Coturnix japonica: one gene and its partner. The protein of the gene in region 2 interacts with the protein of the main gene of each other region in a biochemical or structural test. Links are inferred from orthologs where the notes say so. Each region holds a gene or a part of one and is shown on either strand. Other genes may lie near its edges.

Region 1 (7,558 bases), on a different chromosome or scaffold from region 2:
CCCTTCCCACCTCCCCCCGCTGGTGTTTGTGAACTTGGCACCGAGACAGGGCTGAGAGCTGGAAACCTACAGAGGCCTTGGCTTCTCTGCCTCTGGGCTGCAAAAGTTGCTTTAAATTCCACCTAAATTCCCTCCTCTGAAGAGAGCTGAGGAGTCTCAGTTCTTCCACAGTGAAAAAGAACTTTTTCTTCTTCCTGCCCTCATTTTCCGTTATTTATTTGTTCTTTACAGTAAGTTTGCACAATGGCCTTGGTCCTGATGGGCCCCCAGGCAGCTGTCGTGCAGCCATAGAAAATAATAATAAACCACCGATAGCAGCGAATGGAGGGGCACTTAATAATGAAATGAGGGCATGCATGTTTCCAGCATTGAGCAGCAGCATTGTTTGCTGGGATGTGGGAGTGCTCGGAGCTCGCTGGGACTCCTCCAGGCATTTAGCTTTGAAGGGATGTGTGTGCTCCAAGGAGCTCGTAAAAGCCGTGGTTTTAACTCAATACAAGAATCCTAAAGAGCTGCTCAGCCTTTGGCATCCTGGCTGTGCAGCAGCCCTGGTGGCCTGAGGGAGATGTGGCCACAGATTTCCCAGGATTCGGCATCTTTGTGCCATTTTCCAGTATATGTATATACTGGAATATATATATATATATATCCACTAATTTCTCAGGATTTGGGGTTTTGTATTGAAAAGTTTCAAAGATTTTCTTTTTCCCGCACAAATTTGCCTGAGTTTGTGTTTTTGCATTAGTTTGCAGTAGCGTTCACTACTGAGAAAGGACCTGGTCCCAGCTATGGCAATGGTTAAATTATGGTAGGTGGCATGGAACCATGAGATGAACACAGTGTGGTGTTTTGAGGGTATTGTTTGAATCATAGAGTCATTGAGGTTGTACCTTTGGGACCATCAGGTCAACCCATCCCCACCATGCCCATGCAGTCATAGAATGAAGGCTGGAAAAGGCCTCTTAAGATCAAGTCAAACTACTGACTCCCCATCTTGCCCAGTCATGGAGTCATAGAATCATTAAGATTGGAGCAGATTTCTAAAGTCATAAGTCCAACCATCAACCAGTCACGACTGTACCACAGTGATCAGAGAAACATGAAGCTTTTGAAGACCGCTAAGGTCATCCATTCCAACTGCTGACCCTTCATCACCATACCCACTTACAGAGTTATGAAGGTTGGAAAAGACCTCTAAGATCCCCAACTCCAGCCCACCCCCACCATTCCCACTGACTGTGTCAACAGTTGCCTCATCTCTATAGTTCTTGGCCACCTCCAGGGCCATCCTCACACCTCATTATGCTTGTGGCCATTGCCACAGAGCATAGAGAGCCTTTTGGGGATCAAATGTCCATCAACAGCATCACTTCATCAGTTTTTCCTTCTTTCTTATGACCTGCTCTCTTGCCCCGGTGACGCCATTGGCTTTTCCCATTCATTCATTCAGTGGGAAACACCGGTGCCAAAAAAAGAGGGGAGCAGGGAGGTCCCGGCAGTGGTGAGAAGCAGCACCATTGGGGCTGGCAGAGGGCCTGGCCTTGTGTGATTCCCATGGCTGCTGGAACAGACAACCCAGCCAAAAGTGGAGCTCGTGGGCGGAAGGCGCTGTGCCGTATTTACACCGCGCGGTCCAGAATCCCGGATTACCTAAGCCTTGTCCGTGAGGTCTGCTCACCCCATGCCATTGAAAACCCGAGTGGGATTCATTCATGAGCTCCAGCCCTCCACAGAGCTCTGTTCATTCATCGCCAGGGCGGTTGGCTTCTGCTTTTTTTTTTTAATATATTTTTTTAAAATGCAATTAAATACCTCTTTGTACACTGGGCAGAGCCGCTCGTTAAGGGGTCTTCTCAAACGCAGGCTCAAACAGGGGGTGAAAAAGGCCTTTCTGCCCCTATTCCCCCCTCCCCGCCCACTCCTGAAAGGGATGCTTTTATGTTAAAGAAAATAAACAGAGGGATTTTAGCGGGGTTCAACAGCTTCTACAAAATTCCCTCCACTGCTGTAAAGCAGAACGCGTGTGAGCTGCAGTGGCTGCACTTACTATGGGGGATAATAGCAGGAGGGGGAGAGTCGGTGGGGGTTGGATTTTTATATTTATTTATTTTTACAACCTAGCTTTGCTTTCCCGACTCTCCAAGCAGACGGCGAGTTAAAACATCTCAAAATACCAAATATAAAATGAAAAAGTAAATAAAAAACAAGCCCATGGGGAGGGTGCGGCAAGGGGGGGCGGGGAGGGCACAGCAGCATTTACATCACCCCACATGGCTCTGGTTTTTGGGGGGAGGGGGAGTGGAAAAACACCCTCCCAGGGGTGTTTCTTGCTGCACCCCTCCCCTCCCAATCCCCCTGGGACACTCTCCTTATGGGGCCATGACCCCCCATGGCTGTGTGTGACTGCAGAACTCTGTTCCTTGCTGGCACTGAAATGAGGAAATAATGAGCACTGCAAGGCTGCCGGTTCTGGAGCTGCTTTTTATTGTTGTTTTTGATATAAAAAATGCCTGTGCTGGAGGAGCAGCAAGAAGTCATAGGTGAACGACACAGAAAATACTGAAGATAGTGACATTAAGGCTTGGGGTGGGGTGTGAGGGAAGGGGGGTGTTGCTGGGTCACCCCCATACTTTCCTGCAGCCTGGTTGCATTTTGGTATTTTTAAGTGCAGTTATAGAGATGAATGGTTCCCAGGTCCCAACATGGTGCAAAGGCCATGAGGGATTATAGAGCAGCACTGGGTGCGGATGCTGCATTGAGGAAGGGGGTTTGGTGCTACTCAGCCCCCCTGGCCCCTTCCCCTGATGTCAAAACCCCTTTCCAGAGGATGGAGTCGAGATAAGGGCAAAGGGAACTAAGTTTTGGGTGGCTTTTGTGGTTTTTGGGGTGGCTTTTCTTAACAGCACACAGCTTCTGGCCTTCACCCTGCTGCTATCCACTAGGTTCACCCTCACCTGGCTCCATGAAAGCCTCAAAATGGGGCAGCTGAGCCCAGGGGTGGTGTCCTTTGAGCTGCTTTTGGAACTATGTCTTGTTTTATCATGCTGCCTCTGCACAGTGGGTGATAATTTGTTCCTGGAGATGGACTGTAGGGTGTTTGGTTGCACCCCTGGTAGGCTCAGTGATCATAGAATCATCACAGAACAGTGGAATCACAGAATGAGGACCTTGAAGGTCATGGAACTGGAGGATGGTTTGTTTAGAAGGGTCCTTGAAGAGCACTGAAGTGGAGAATGTTTGGATTGGAAGGGACATCAGAGATTATGGATGGATTGGGTTGGGTTGGAAGGGACCTTAAAGACGCCCAGATTCCAACCCCTTGCCATGAGTAGTGCCATCTCCCACCAGGCCAGGTTGCCCAAGGCCCCATCCTGCCTGGCCATGGGCAACTCCAGGGTGCTGAGGTTGTCAGGGTATGTGTGGAGAGCACCGTGAAGGGGTGGAACTCATGACATTGCATCACTTTGGTATCTGAATGCCCCCACAGTCCTCAATTTCTCCATCTTTTTGTCTCCCCCCGTAGATTCACAAGTTCTTCAGGAGTCAGGGGATCACTCACACTGGTGCGTGGTGGCATACTGGGAAGAGAAGACGCGCGTGGGTCGGCTGTACTCTGTCCAAGAGCCCTCCCTGGATATCTTCTATGATCTACCTCAGGGGAACGGCTTCTGCCTCGGGCAGCTCAACTCGGACAACAGAAGCCAGCTGGTGCAGAAGGTGCGCAGCAAGATCGGGTACGGCATCCAGCTCACCAAGGAGGTGGACGGCGTGTGGGTCTACAACCGCAGCAGCTACCCCATCTTCATCAAGTCGGCCACACTGGACAACCCCGACTCCAGGACGTTGCTGGTGCACAAAGTGTTCCCGGGTTTTTCCATCAAGGCTTTTGATTATGAGAAGGCGTACAGCCTGCAGAGGCCAAACGACCACGAGTTCACGCAGCAGCCATGGACTGGATTTACCGTGCAGATCAGCTTTGTGAAGGGCTGGGGCCAGTGCTACACCAGGCAGTTCATCAGCAGCTGCCCGTGCTGGTTAGAGGTTATTTTTAATAACCGATGACACGAGACGGAGCGGACTCATGACATTTATACTACTTTGCTGCTATTACTTCCTTCTGAGTGCTTGCTTTTCATGCAACCTTTTTGTTTTTGTTTCGTTTTGGTTGTTGTTTTTTTACCCCCCGCCACGCATCTCCCCCATTCTGAGAAATAGCTCGTGGAAAGATTTTCGCCCGGGTATTTTGATAAATAGAGCTATTTTTTAGAAGTGCAAACGACCAATAAGGAGGGCATGTGGGGCAGATCACATATGATAATCATTTCCCACTTCCCAAAGGATTATCCTGTGTGATGAGTGGGTTGGGAGCCACTTGTTCTTGGGTAGCGTGGTGGGATCCCTGTATTTTTCATGCCCTCCCCCCATCCCAATGTTGGTGACACCCAACTGATACCCTTCCCCAGCAGCGGTGCACAAACTTCCCACCAGGTCTTACCCTACCTGTGTCGTTTTTGCCATTGAGTTTTCTCATTGGGTCGTCGCTGTTGTTGGGTTCGCATCCCACCCCCCCATCTTTCCATGGTGTTTTATATCATCAAGGATTGATACAAGAGGAGAAAACGACAACGAAGAAACCACGCGTGGCCCACGCTTTGCAATTGGAGCTGAGTTGTGAAGTAAGCCTAGGGAATAAAAAACAAAACAACTACAAAAAAAAACAACATGAAGCAAAACAAAACAAAAACAAAAGAAATATGGGGAATATAAAGCGTCGAGGGTAGTTGGTCTGTCGGAACCTGTTGGATCAGGTTATCCCAGTGCCATCGTATCTGGAGACGCCGTTGTGCTTTCATTTCTTCTTGAATTCATACACACGTATGATACTTTTACACTGTTCTTAGCTCAATGAGCATGTTTAGACCTTAACATAAGCTATTTTTCTAAGTACAAAGGTTTAAATGAACAAGAGAGCATTCTCATCGGAACTTTGGCATCGTAGTGCTTTGGAAAGAAAACACACAGACACACAAAAAAAGGACTTCTTAAGAAAAAAAAAACCTGAGATTTATTAAAGAAGAGGAAAAAAAAATGTATTTTATGTTATATATAAATATATTATTACTTGTAAATACAAAGACGTTTTATAAGCATCATTATTTATGTATTGTGCAATGTGTATAAACGAGAAAAATAAGAGAAGATGCACTTTGCTTTAATATAAATGCAAATAACAAATGCCAAATTAAAAAAAAAAAAAAGAAAAAGAAAAGAACATGAGATTGGTGGTTTTTTTCTATGGGTGTTCTCATCCAGATGAATGTTTTGTTTTGTTTTGTTTTTTTTCTAAAGGATTTTATGTTCCATGAAAAAAATAAAAACATACACTTGACCCTCGGTGCGGAGTGGCTTTGTTAGAGGTGTGGAGGAGCAGCGTGAGGGGTTTTCCTATTGCTTGTCGTTTCAGGTTGAGCTCACCCCCATGGCAGCAGCCCAGTGTTCATCCTGTATCATCCTGTCCCTAAAATACGATGGCTTTTATGCCAGCGTGCCATCTGGGTTGCTCCGCAGGTCCATGGCTTTGATTGGAGCTCTGCATCGCATCCAGTGTGTCCTCAGCAGAAGTTCCTGTAGCTGATTGAGCTCCTACCTTTGGTGGAAGCTCACCAAAGTTTCTGAGTGGAAACTGCTGGCCCTGTGGAGCCTGAGGGCTTTGGAGAGGTGCAGCATCTGTGTCTTGGATCCTATTGGCCTTCATGTGGTGGACAGATGCGGTAGTTGAGGAGTCATTGTGAGCATCAAGAGCGGGTTCACCCAACGCTGCACCTTTCTGTTCAACATTCCCCACCCAAAGGGATTTATTGAGATATAGAGTCTGCTCTGAATGGACTATACCTTCATCTGGATTCCTTTCACCGAGCCCACCAACCAGCTTCAAAATGGTTTTGGATCATGTGTTTGTACCCACCCGTCTTGTTTGGTGTGCCCTGAAGGTGACCAAGAGGGCAGACATTAGTGTGTCTTCATCTACAGTACAATTTGCCTCACTTCCTTTCCGTTCCGTCCACCAGACATGAAACACTCAATAACCTCACATGACCAGTGGTCAAACCAGCAATGATGGTTTGTGTAAGAGGTTCAAGGAAAAATGTTCTGGCCCATTCCATGGTACCCCCCACCGAAGGCCCCGAAGATGAAGGATAAAATGGACATCATTGCAAAACTCAGCTGTGACTGCTCACCAGGAACAAGTGTCTTCTGGGGTTGGGAGATCCTCTGCACATCCCATTTTGCACCTTGTCCTGAGCAGTTGCCTCTTGCAGGAGAAGCGCTGTGCTGGCTGGATCTTTGGTTGGGCCTTTGGTTCAACCTTTGTTTGGAGCTTTGGTTGGACTTTTGTTTCAATCTTTGGTTGGATCTTTGGTTGCGGTTTGGTTTGAACATTGTTAGGAACTTGGACCTTTGGTCGGACGTGGCTTGCCAGGTTGGATGTTGTGGTGATGGAGAATGAGCTGAAACACCCCAAAGAGCCCTTCATTGTATGGGGCCTCTTAGTCTCATCTGTAAAAATATAAGACCAGGCATCACTGTTTGATGTCCGAAGGCTGAGAGATAATCAGCAAAACTACAGCTTTTCAATACTAATGCAGCTTGAGTTAAAGTGTCCCAGACTTCACTTCCTGCTGAGCTAATTTTAGTCCCTTTTCAGTCCTTTTTGTACCCTTTTCAGTGAAAAAAAAGTCCTTTTTGGTGAGCTGTAAACTTGCTCTGCACCGTGGCTCCAGATTAACTGGCATTAAAATGTCCTGATGATATCCTGCACCACTGTAAATTACAGCACGATTGTGCCCTTTTTCCTCATGTTGCCAAGTGGTAATTAAAGAGTGCAATAAAGAAGGGTTAAAGCATGTTGCTTTCTGCTGATATATGTGGAGTCTGCTCAAACTGTCAGCAAACAAGAGGGAAGTCTCCATAGTCTTGAGATCTTTGGAGCAAGTGGTTTCCATGGGGCAGAGCCATGCTCCCTGTTGTATTTGGATAATGTTCTGTATGGGACTCGTTCCCCATCTGCCCTGAGGACTCCAAGGAATTAATGGGCTCTTGTCTCACAGATTATTAACAAGTCTATTGCCTGAAAGGATCCATTTTATACATCCATTGGGTGAAGAGACCCATGGAGTCACCATTGAGTGAAGGGATCCATGAAGAGATCCGTTGGGTGAAGGGACCCGTGGAGACATCAACAGGGTGAAGAGGACCCATGGAGTCATCACTGGGAGAAGGGGCTCATGGAGATGTCTGTTGGGTGAAGGTACCAGGTCTGGGATGGACCCCTAGTGCCACCAGGCCCTATGGTGCCTGAGCTAGGATGAGTTTGGTCCCAGCTACTCCCTGCAGCTGGCCAGATGAGAATGCCCATGTCAATGTGCTCAAAATGTGGGGAAAATCTCATTCCAGCCCCAAATGTCTTGCTCAAAGTACCCTACAAAACTAAGGAGCAGGTGAGTCCCAGATCCCATCACTCGACCAGCGAAGGGACATAACACATGGATGTAACTCA
Region 2 (8,443 bases):
CTAATTTGTCCCATTGCCTCTTCCTGATTCTGTCATGCAAACAAGACTCAGTCCATCTTACACACTTTGGCACTATTCACATCTCCCCTCTGTTTGAGGGTGAGCCATCTGTACTGGCCACTCTGTCTCTTTGTACCTGTAGTCAGCTGTGCACACTGCCTAACCCTGTCTCTTTGTGTTTGTGCACCTCAAAGGATGGCACTCCAACCTCCAAGACGTTTGAGCACGTGACTAGTGAGATCGGAGCGGAGGAGGCAGAGGAAGTTGGTGTTGAACACTTGTTACGGTAAACACCTTTAAGATGAGAGCTTTCTTGTGAGACTTGCACAGCAGGGAACGTGGTCCATCTGGCATCTCCCAGTGCCAGCTCCCTGGAGGAAATGCAGGGCTTGTGAAACATGTTGCTTATGTGCTAAAAGTGTGTTCCCTTAGCAGTCCTACTTGGCACGTTCAGTCATTGCTAGTGAAAAGTGTAACTGCCCACTGAATCTCCATAGAATAATGATAGCTACACTGTCATAGTTTCAAAGCTTTGGAATATCATGGTTTGGAACCATCTCAGCCCCTGCATACATTGCAGAGCAGGACTGAGTGGGAGCACAGCTGCTGGAGCTGCAGCTGACAAACTGGCAAAGCTTGCCAGCCAGGAAAAGAGCAGTCACCCCATCCATGCTGCACAGCCTTTTCACCTGCTGGGAATCCCGTTGGCTTCTTTCTTTCTATCCCCTAACATCATTACTACTATTCCAGAGGTAGCATTTCTGCACAAAAGCATACAACGACCTATTTTAGACACACTTTGTAATGTAAATCAGTTTGATCTCATTCTTTGACTTCAAGTGTTCTGCTTAGTTGTGCTTCACCCCTTCTTGCGACTGCCGTTCTTTCTAAACAGGGAAGACCTCTTAGTGAATACACACAGCTTGCACAGCTTGTTGATGAGTACACAGCAAACATTCTAATGTGGAATCTTTGTTACGCATGTTTCAGAGACATCAAGGACACCACGGTGGGCACCCTGTCCCAGCGGATCACAAATCAGGTCCATGGCTTGAAGGGACTGAACTCCAAGCTTCTGGACATCAGGAGCTACCTCGAGAAAGTAGCCATGGGCAAGCTCCCCATCAATCACCAGATCATTTACCACCTTCAGGATGTCTTCAACCTGCTACCGGACGTCAACCTGCAGGAATTTGTCAAGGCCTTTTACCTGAAGACCAATGACCAGATGGTGGTTGTTTACCTGGCTTCTCTTATCCGCTCAGTGGTTGCCCTGCACAACCTCATCAATAACAAGATTGCCAATAGGGATGCAGAGAAGAAGGAAGGACAGGAAAAAGAAGAGAGTAAAAAGGAGAGGAAAGATGAGAAGGAGAAAGACAAGGAGAAGAGCGATGTCAAGAAAGAGGAGAAAAAAGAGAAAAAGTAAAATGTGTAGTTTTTTTATTTGTAAATTAAAAAAATCTTGTAAACTAAGTCACTTTGCTGCTGGGTTCTTTTCCTTTGTAGTGATAAGTGCTCTGGGCTTTGGCTGCTTTTAATCTCACTGCATTTGTTATGACATGGCTGTACAAATGGACTCAAAGTGGCAGAAGCTGCCACAAGGAGCGAGTTGCTGTGACTGGGTGCTGTGGTCTGGCTGTATGTGGTGTATGGATACATCCAGGGTGGGCTGGGCTGTGTCAGTGCCTGGGGCTGACAGACAGCAATGCAGCCCGGCCCATAGCAAATGAATTTCGGGAGTGGGCTGTGCCATACTGGCACAAGTACAGTCTGTTAAAGAAATAATAACCCATCGCAAGTGCTGCTGAAAAGCAAAGCGATGGCAAAATTATGGGGTGCTGGCTGGCCCCTGGTGCTGTGAATAGCAGCCTTCTTTAGTTCTGCTGCTGGATTTTTGCTTTTTTTTTAAAAAACCAAGAGCTGCAATTCCCAGGGATGCTGTGCTCATGTGCCTGATTTCCATTGCTGCCTCACAGCTGTCAGCATTGTGTCCCAGCACCACACACAGCATGACAGCATCCAAGCCCCAGTGGCACCGCATCCCCGTGAGGGTGGTGCCACTGTGCTGTGCCAGCCATACCCACCCCTCCCGCCCTGGCTGCAGCCCACTAATTACAGGGGACATGTTCATCATGGCACCCAGCTGCGGGCATGCAGCCACAGAACCACGGCCAGCCAGCCAGCCCAGAGCCATTTTTAACTAAGCATGATTACAGGCTGGGGGAGGCAGACAGCCGCTGTACCCAGCCAGACCCCCAATGCAAGGAAGGCGCCTCCGTGTGTGCACAGAAAAACAGATGGAATGTATGTATGTATTCATAGAAACCAACCTAGTGGCCACAGCTCTGAGCAGAGCTGTCCCTGCTCCTGAAATAGGGGCATGGAGGGTACCCCAACCTCCAGCCTCATCCACTGGGGGGGGCAGGGGGCTGTCCCTGCACTGTGACACCAGCCAGGGACGCACCATGGCAGCTGCTTGTCTTTTATTGCACAAGAAATCGGCATCACTGAGGCAGAATGGTGCAGTACAAAACGCTCCGGTCACCAGTCAGAAGCTATTGCAGAGCTTTGTATCCACGATTTCATTTATGTACAGATATACACACACCAACGCTTGCTCACCAAGGCCCTGTCCTAGAACCACTGCCAGGACACCACGGCCCTTCACCCTGGCTACAACAGGGCCACAGGCAGGGCCTGATCCTGCCCTTATCACAGTTCTGGAAGGCCCTGGCACAGCACAGGATGGGGGTGGTAGAGCCTCACACAAGCTGCAGAGCACCAGCTCCCAGCACGTGCTTTAAATACCAAACAGCACAGGGCTGCACTGCACGCTGGCAACTCAGAACACAGTAGCAGGGTGGAGCTTGGTGCCAGGCCCAGCCCTGCCTGCACCCCAGTACTTTGCTGGGAGCAGGATAGGGGCCAGACACATACCTTTATGAGCACCTGAGGCAGCGCAAGAGCCCCTTCTCATCCTCAATGTATCTACTGAAACGCCACAGGAAGGCTGAAAAAATTAGAGGGGAATAGCCTACACCTAAACCAGATCTCACATCTAAGTCTGGGAAAAGCCCCAGCCTGGCTCGTTAAGTCAGGGCTGGAGTCCATTGGTGGCATGTGTCACAGGGGGAAGGGCTGGGTACTGCTACAGGGAGAGGGGCAAAACAAACTGAATAACAACTGGGGTTTGGCTTCAGCGCATCAGTCAGAAGCTGTTTGTGTCCATTTCCAGGTGCACAGTGATTTCCCACAAACAGGGACAACCCCACTAACATGGAGCAGCCGCTGGGACAGGGAGCGCAGCCCAAAGCCCCATGCAGGACCCACATCCCCCCAGCATCCCAGCGAGGGGACGGGAGCTGTGGTGCACACTGTGTGCACGAGGCTGGGCTTGGCCCTTCCTCAGCCCCAGGCTGAGCAGGGACGGGATTTCACCCCCACTTCCCCATCCCAACTTCAGTTTGGGTTGGGAGGGACACGTGGATGCTTCCCCGGAGCTGTGAGTGCAGACCTCATACAGGAATAAGAACAGAATCAGCACCGCCCGCACCATCCCACAGGCAGCAGTGCTATGAGCACCGCCGGAGCTGCTGAGAGAGCAGCAGGGCTCCATCACTCCTGGCCAAAGCCTTCTGTCTCCTCAATGGCATACAGCAGCTTCTCCTTCAGCTGTTCGTAGCTCTTGTAGGGAGGCAGATCCAAGCGGTTAAAGCTGGTGAGACAGGGCGCTGTGAGCAGGGCAGGGAGCCCAGTACTGCTGCCACCCTGCTCCCCACCACAGGGTTCCCCTCCCACAGGTCTCCCCAGCAGCTCCATCCCAAGGGAGAAAGGCGTACGGGCAGCCAGAGCCCCACGCAGCCCCACAGGGACACCACCATGTGCCCCACACAGCAGCCACTCACCATGTATGGCTCCGAGGCAGCCACGTCTCTTTGCCAACTTTATCGATGCAGAATTTCTGAGGCCCGTTGCTGCCTGTTAATGGTGAGCAGAACCGATCTCATTACATGATCAGGAGCTGAAAAAGAACTCTGACCTGGCCCTACAGCCAGCAGAGTGACTCAGCCCTATGATCCTACAGCACGTGGGGGCAACAAACCCAGAGCTGTACTCAAAGCTTGTTCTGAGCCCTCTACAGAGAGGATGAGTATCCAAAGGAAAAGCAGAACAGTGTTTTCCAGAGCACGCAGTGACACAGCACCGAGTGCAAGGCAGGTGGTTCAGCAGTGAGTGCTGAAACACACATCTGTGGAGCCACAGGACCCAGCAGTCTGCCTGCACGCTGCAGGGACCTGGCTCAGGAGGTCTGAGTCACTGAGGCTGCTTTTAACAAATGGCCCTGGACAGGCTTCAGGGGGCTGGAAAAAGGCTGATATGGCAGTAAGGATAACCGAACGGGTTAAGTTAGCTGGTACACATCAGTTCCAGGAAGACACTGGGCAGGCTGCTAGGGGCCCCAAAAAGCAGCAAATTAAAGGGCAGGCACAGAGTCATGCCACAATATGGTTTTCCAAAAAAGGGGTTTCATAGCACAAAAAATTAAAATTAAATAAACAGAAACACAGAGTCACAGGGGTTGGAAGGGACCTCAAGGGATCATACAGTCCAACACCCTGCTAAAGCAGGTTACCCACAATAGGTCACACAGGCAGCATCCAGACAGGTCTTGAATATCTCCATAGAAGGAGACTACAAGCTCTCAGAGCAACCTGTTCCAGTGCTCCGTCACCATTACCATGAAGATGCCCCAAAAAAACCCACTAAAATCTCATTCAAAATGAGGCTACAAACTGGGCTGACAAAGTTAACTGCAGTGGCACAGCTAACGCCCAAGGAATTTGTCTTAGCACAGCACCAACCACACTGCCTTATTCAGATGTCACTGCAGCTGTATCACTGCCCTGCTACAATGGGAATGTGAACACTTGGCCCCAGCAACCAAAGCCAGGCATGGCCATCATCCCCCTCCCCACCCAACCTTAGCGTGGTCACACACCGATGAGCTCCGCGAAGCCCCCGACAGGCAGACGGCACGTCCCCGTCACAAACTGCAGCAGGCGGATCCTCTTCTCATTGTCCATCTCCTTCACCACCTGCAAGCACAGGGAGGAGGATCCCCATCACCCCACAGCCTCAGGCAGCGCCCAGCCCTGAGTGTGGCACATGAAGGCTCTGGGGCTCACCTGCCAGAACCACTGGATCTGTTTGCTGTTCTTGGTGTAGTGCCGGTAGATGGTGTTCTTCTGCCAGTCGTTCATGTCGATCTCCTGCATGCCGCACAGCATCAGCTGGGGATGGAGGACAGTCAGGGGGATGGAAATACAGCCCCGTGTTCACACATCACAGCACTGAGTCTTTTGGGGCTGTGCAAGGCATGAGCTTGAGCAACAAAAGCGTACAAGGGAATTCTGCACCTCCGATGAGAAGTTCTCACCAAGAGACCCAACAGGCAGCCCTGCAGCCCCTGCTGCCTTGGGTGGGCACATCTCTGAACCAATAGGTGAAATCAAGAGATCGAGGCTGAGCAGAGCTCAGACACCCCATGGGCACCACAATGGCCGGCCTGGGGCAGGGCCCGCTCACCTCCAGCTCCTTCTCATCAAAGTACCGCAGCCACTCGAGTGGCACCACTTCGTTGAAGCCATCCAGGAATGCCTTGGTTTGCTCCTCCACACCCCGAGTGAACCTCCAGTCTGTCAGCAGCCTGCAAAGGCAGGTAGGAGTCCGTGGGTGGCACCGGGGCTCTCCTCACCATCTTTCACCCTTCAGGATTCCACGATTCCCTCCCACTGCTTCCCACAGCCCACAAGCAGAAGTGGGCTCTGATTATTGAGCAGTCGCCATCAGGGAATCACCAGCAGCACCACAGTGGCCCCAGCAGCCCCGCAATACACAAGCCAGTGAGCAGCATGGGGCGAGGCAAGGAGTTGCACCCTCTCTCCCCTCTCCTCTTCCCTGAGAGCCCTGGCAGCCGCCCAGACCACAGGCAGCCAGACTGCAGTGCAGTGCTGCGCCAGCTCGGGCTTCTCAAAGCCACGTAGCCAAGGAGGGGCCACATCCCCAGCCCCACGCTCCCACCCAGTGCTGCCCTGAAGCCAAGTGCCCAATGTGGCATCAGGACCAGACTCACATGATGTACTCCTCCTTGTTCTCCTCTGTCACCCGGATGCTCTCACCGCCCTCCTTCAGCTCATGGGTGGTCACCTTGCCCAGGATCTCCATGTCCTGGATGAAGTAGAGCTCCAGGCCGCACTCCTCCAGGCTGTTCTCCCTGCAGAGGGCACCGGGATGTGAGAGGTCACAGGGGGAGCACTGCACCCACCCTCCCTCCCCACCATCCCCGAGTGCAAGGCACTCACTTGGTCCAGATGATGGAGTTGTAGAACTCTGGATCAATGGATTCCAGGTCCTTCAGTGTGGGCCGCTTGTTCAGCATCCGCTTGTAGAAGGGCAGCGTGAAGCCGGTGTCAATGAACTTCCCGTGGTACAGAGCCTAAAGGGTGCGGAGATGGGGATCAGAGGGACCAGGATGGGCTCCTTGCAGACCACGGCTGGACCCACAGCACGGGGCTCGCAACCCCTTCCCCTCCCCACCATGAATTCCACTGCATCTCCATCTCCCGTCGCAGCTCTATTAAGAGCACTTGTTTAAACAGAGTTCTGCCGTGGCTTCCCTGAATCCCTGGCTTCCAGGAGCCCCAAGGCAAAGGCAGCCAAAAATAATGCAGACGCTTGTCTAGAACAGCCCAGCGGTGAGTAATAGTCTGGAGTTTTATTGGGATCCTGCAAGGCGTGGGGCAGGGCAGGGCGCAGCATTTTGGGCAGACCCTGCCCCATCTGGTACCACTGCAGCCCTTTGCCCACCAGGCCCTGGGGAGGGTGAGAACAACAGGAGGAGCCAGGCAGGGGCAGCTGGAAAACCTCACACTGCTGGGGCTAAAAACAGCCCCAGGGCTGCAGAGCTGATAGCACCGGGTGGCAGCCAATAGCCTGGAGGCACAGCCCCAGGAAACTGTGACCCCAGCCTCATGGCCAGCCCCAGCCCTGCAACACGTCACCTCATGCTGCTATGGCCACTCTTCCTCTGGGCACACACTGAGCAAGAAAGTGCTCAGAAAAGGTGACTATGCCAAGCAGGGCTCCCCGGCCCCGGGCTCTTACCATGGCGATGAAGCGTCCGATGAAACGGAAGTAGGTGAGGTGGTCAGGGTTGATGGAGGAGGCGGGGTTGATCTGCAGGCAGTAGTTGTTCTTGCCGGCATACTCGAAGAGGCAGTACATGGGGTTGAGCACCTCGTGGGACAGGAGGAAGAACCACTCCCTGGGCAAGAGGAAGGGAAAAGTGGTGAGCAGACATCAGCACCTGGGTCTGCTATGGGAGGCTTTGTCCCAGCAGTGGGGACAGCCCTGTGCCCATGAAACATGGCTGCACAGACAGTGCCCAGCTCCTTGGGGTGCAGGGCAGGCACTGAGCCCTGCTGAGAGTATTGTGCAGCCCAGGACCCAGCCGCAAAGTGCCTCTGAAGACATCAGTAAGGAAAAACCAGCCTGTCAAACACGTGCACATGTGCCTGTGCACACATGTACAGTGCCCACAAACACCAGCTATCCTTCTCCACAACCCTCTCCCCCCCCCCCCAGTTTCCCACTCAAAGCAGTGCAGAACAGGCGCAGCCCTCACTCTGCTCCCCCACCACTGGCAGTCCTCGGACGCAGAGGCAGCCCCGGCATCCCGTCCGTGGTTCTACCCTGTGGTAGAACAGCATGACGTAACCTACCATAGGGTAAAACCACTGGCAGGACACAGAGAGACACAGGCAGCAGGAGCCCTGCCCACAGCCAGCAGCAGCATCACTGGGAAGGAGGAGGTGGGGAGCACACTGCAGCACGGGTTCTGGGGCAGAAGAGGCAGTGCAAGCCCACCACTAAGCCTTACACCCAAGGCAGGATGGCCAGGGGACAACAGACAGTCCCTCCAGCTGGAGGCACAGCAGAGTGCCACATGGCACCATCCACTGGGTAGATGGTGGAAGCCAGCAGCACCACATTTGCCCTGGCACACACCGCCCGTCTCAAGAAGAAACACCAGTGCCTGTCCTGGAGGGAGAGGAGGCAGCTCAGCCCATCACAGCGCACTGAGGGCTGCTGGACCCCCAGCCCTCCCTGTACAAGGGATCAGGGAGTGCAATAATGCCTTCCCAGAACTCACACTGTTCTCACCTCCTCTCCCTGAGCAGGCACTGGAAGAGGGCCAGGAACCCTGAGCCCTGTTACCAGAAGGCTTCATGCCATGGGGGGCTCACCCAGCCCCACAGCAGACACGTGGCCCCACACTCACCTGGCAATGCCGCCATAGTCCAGGCCCTCCTCACCACGCATGATGATGTAGAGGCGGCGCCGCAGGTCGTAGGGCTTCATGTTCATGATCTACAGGGGG

What was found. The genes of interacting proteins can lie anywhere in the genome.
Region 1: the proteins of WWP2 (region 2) and SMAD7 are reported together in a solved structure, tested with the Homo sapiens proteins (2 studies listed by BioGRID, with this or other methods). The link is inferred for Coturnix japonica from reciprocal best matches to the Homo sapiens genes WWP2 and SMAD7.

Annotation. Positions count from the first base shown.
Region 1 is NC_029547.1:1,105,100-1,112,657, forward strand, and holds the end of SMAD7 (mothers against decapentaplegic homolog 7), read left to right. Parts: intron 1-3,523; coding exon 3,524-4,062; 3' UTR 4,063-5,389; downstream 5,390-7,558. UniProt on the Homo sapiens protein: Antagonist of signaling by TGF-beta (transforming growth factor) type 1 receptor superfamily members; has been shown to inhibit TGF-beta (Transforming growth factor) and activin signaling by associating with their receptors thus preventing SMAD2 access.
Region 2 is NC_029526.1:17,008,875-17,017,317, reverse strand, and holds the end of WWP2 (NEDD4-like E3 ubiquitin-protein ligase WWP2), read right to left. Parts: intron 8,434-8,443; coding exon 8,345-8,433; intron 7,328-8,344; coding exon 7,168-7,327; intron 6,500-7,167; coding exon 6,366-6,499; intron 6,278-6,365; coding exon 6,137-6,277; intron 5,711-6,136; coding exon 5,590-5,710; intron 5,295-5,589; coding exon 5,190-5,294; intron 5,100-5,189; coding exon 5,003-5,099; intron 3,982-5,002; coding exon 3,909-3,981; intron 3,719-3,908; coding exon 3,619-3,718; 3' UTR 2,472-3,618; downstream 1-2,471. Other genes in the region: PSMD7 (26S proteasome non-ATPase regulatory subunit 7), read left to right, coding at 195-286, 991-1,429. UniProt on the Homo sapiens protein: E3 ubiquitin-protein ligase which accepts ubiquitin from an E2 ubiquitin-conjugating enzyme in the form of a thioester and then directly transfers the ubiquitin to targeted substrates.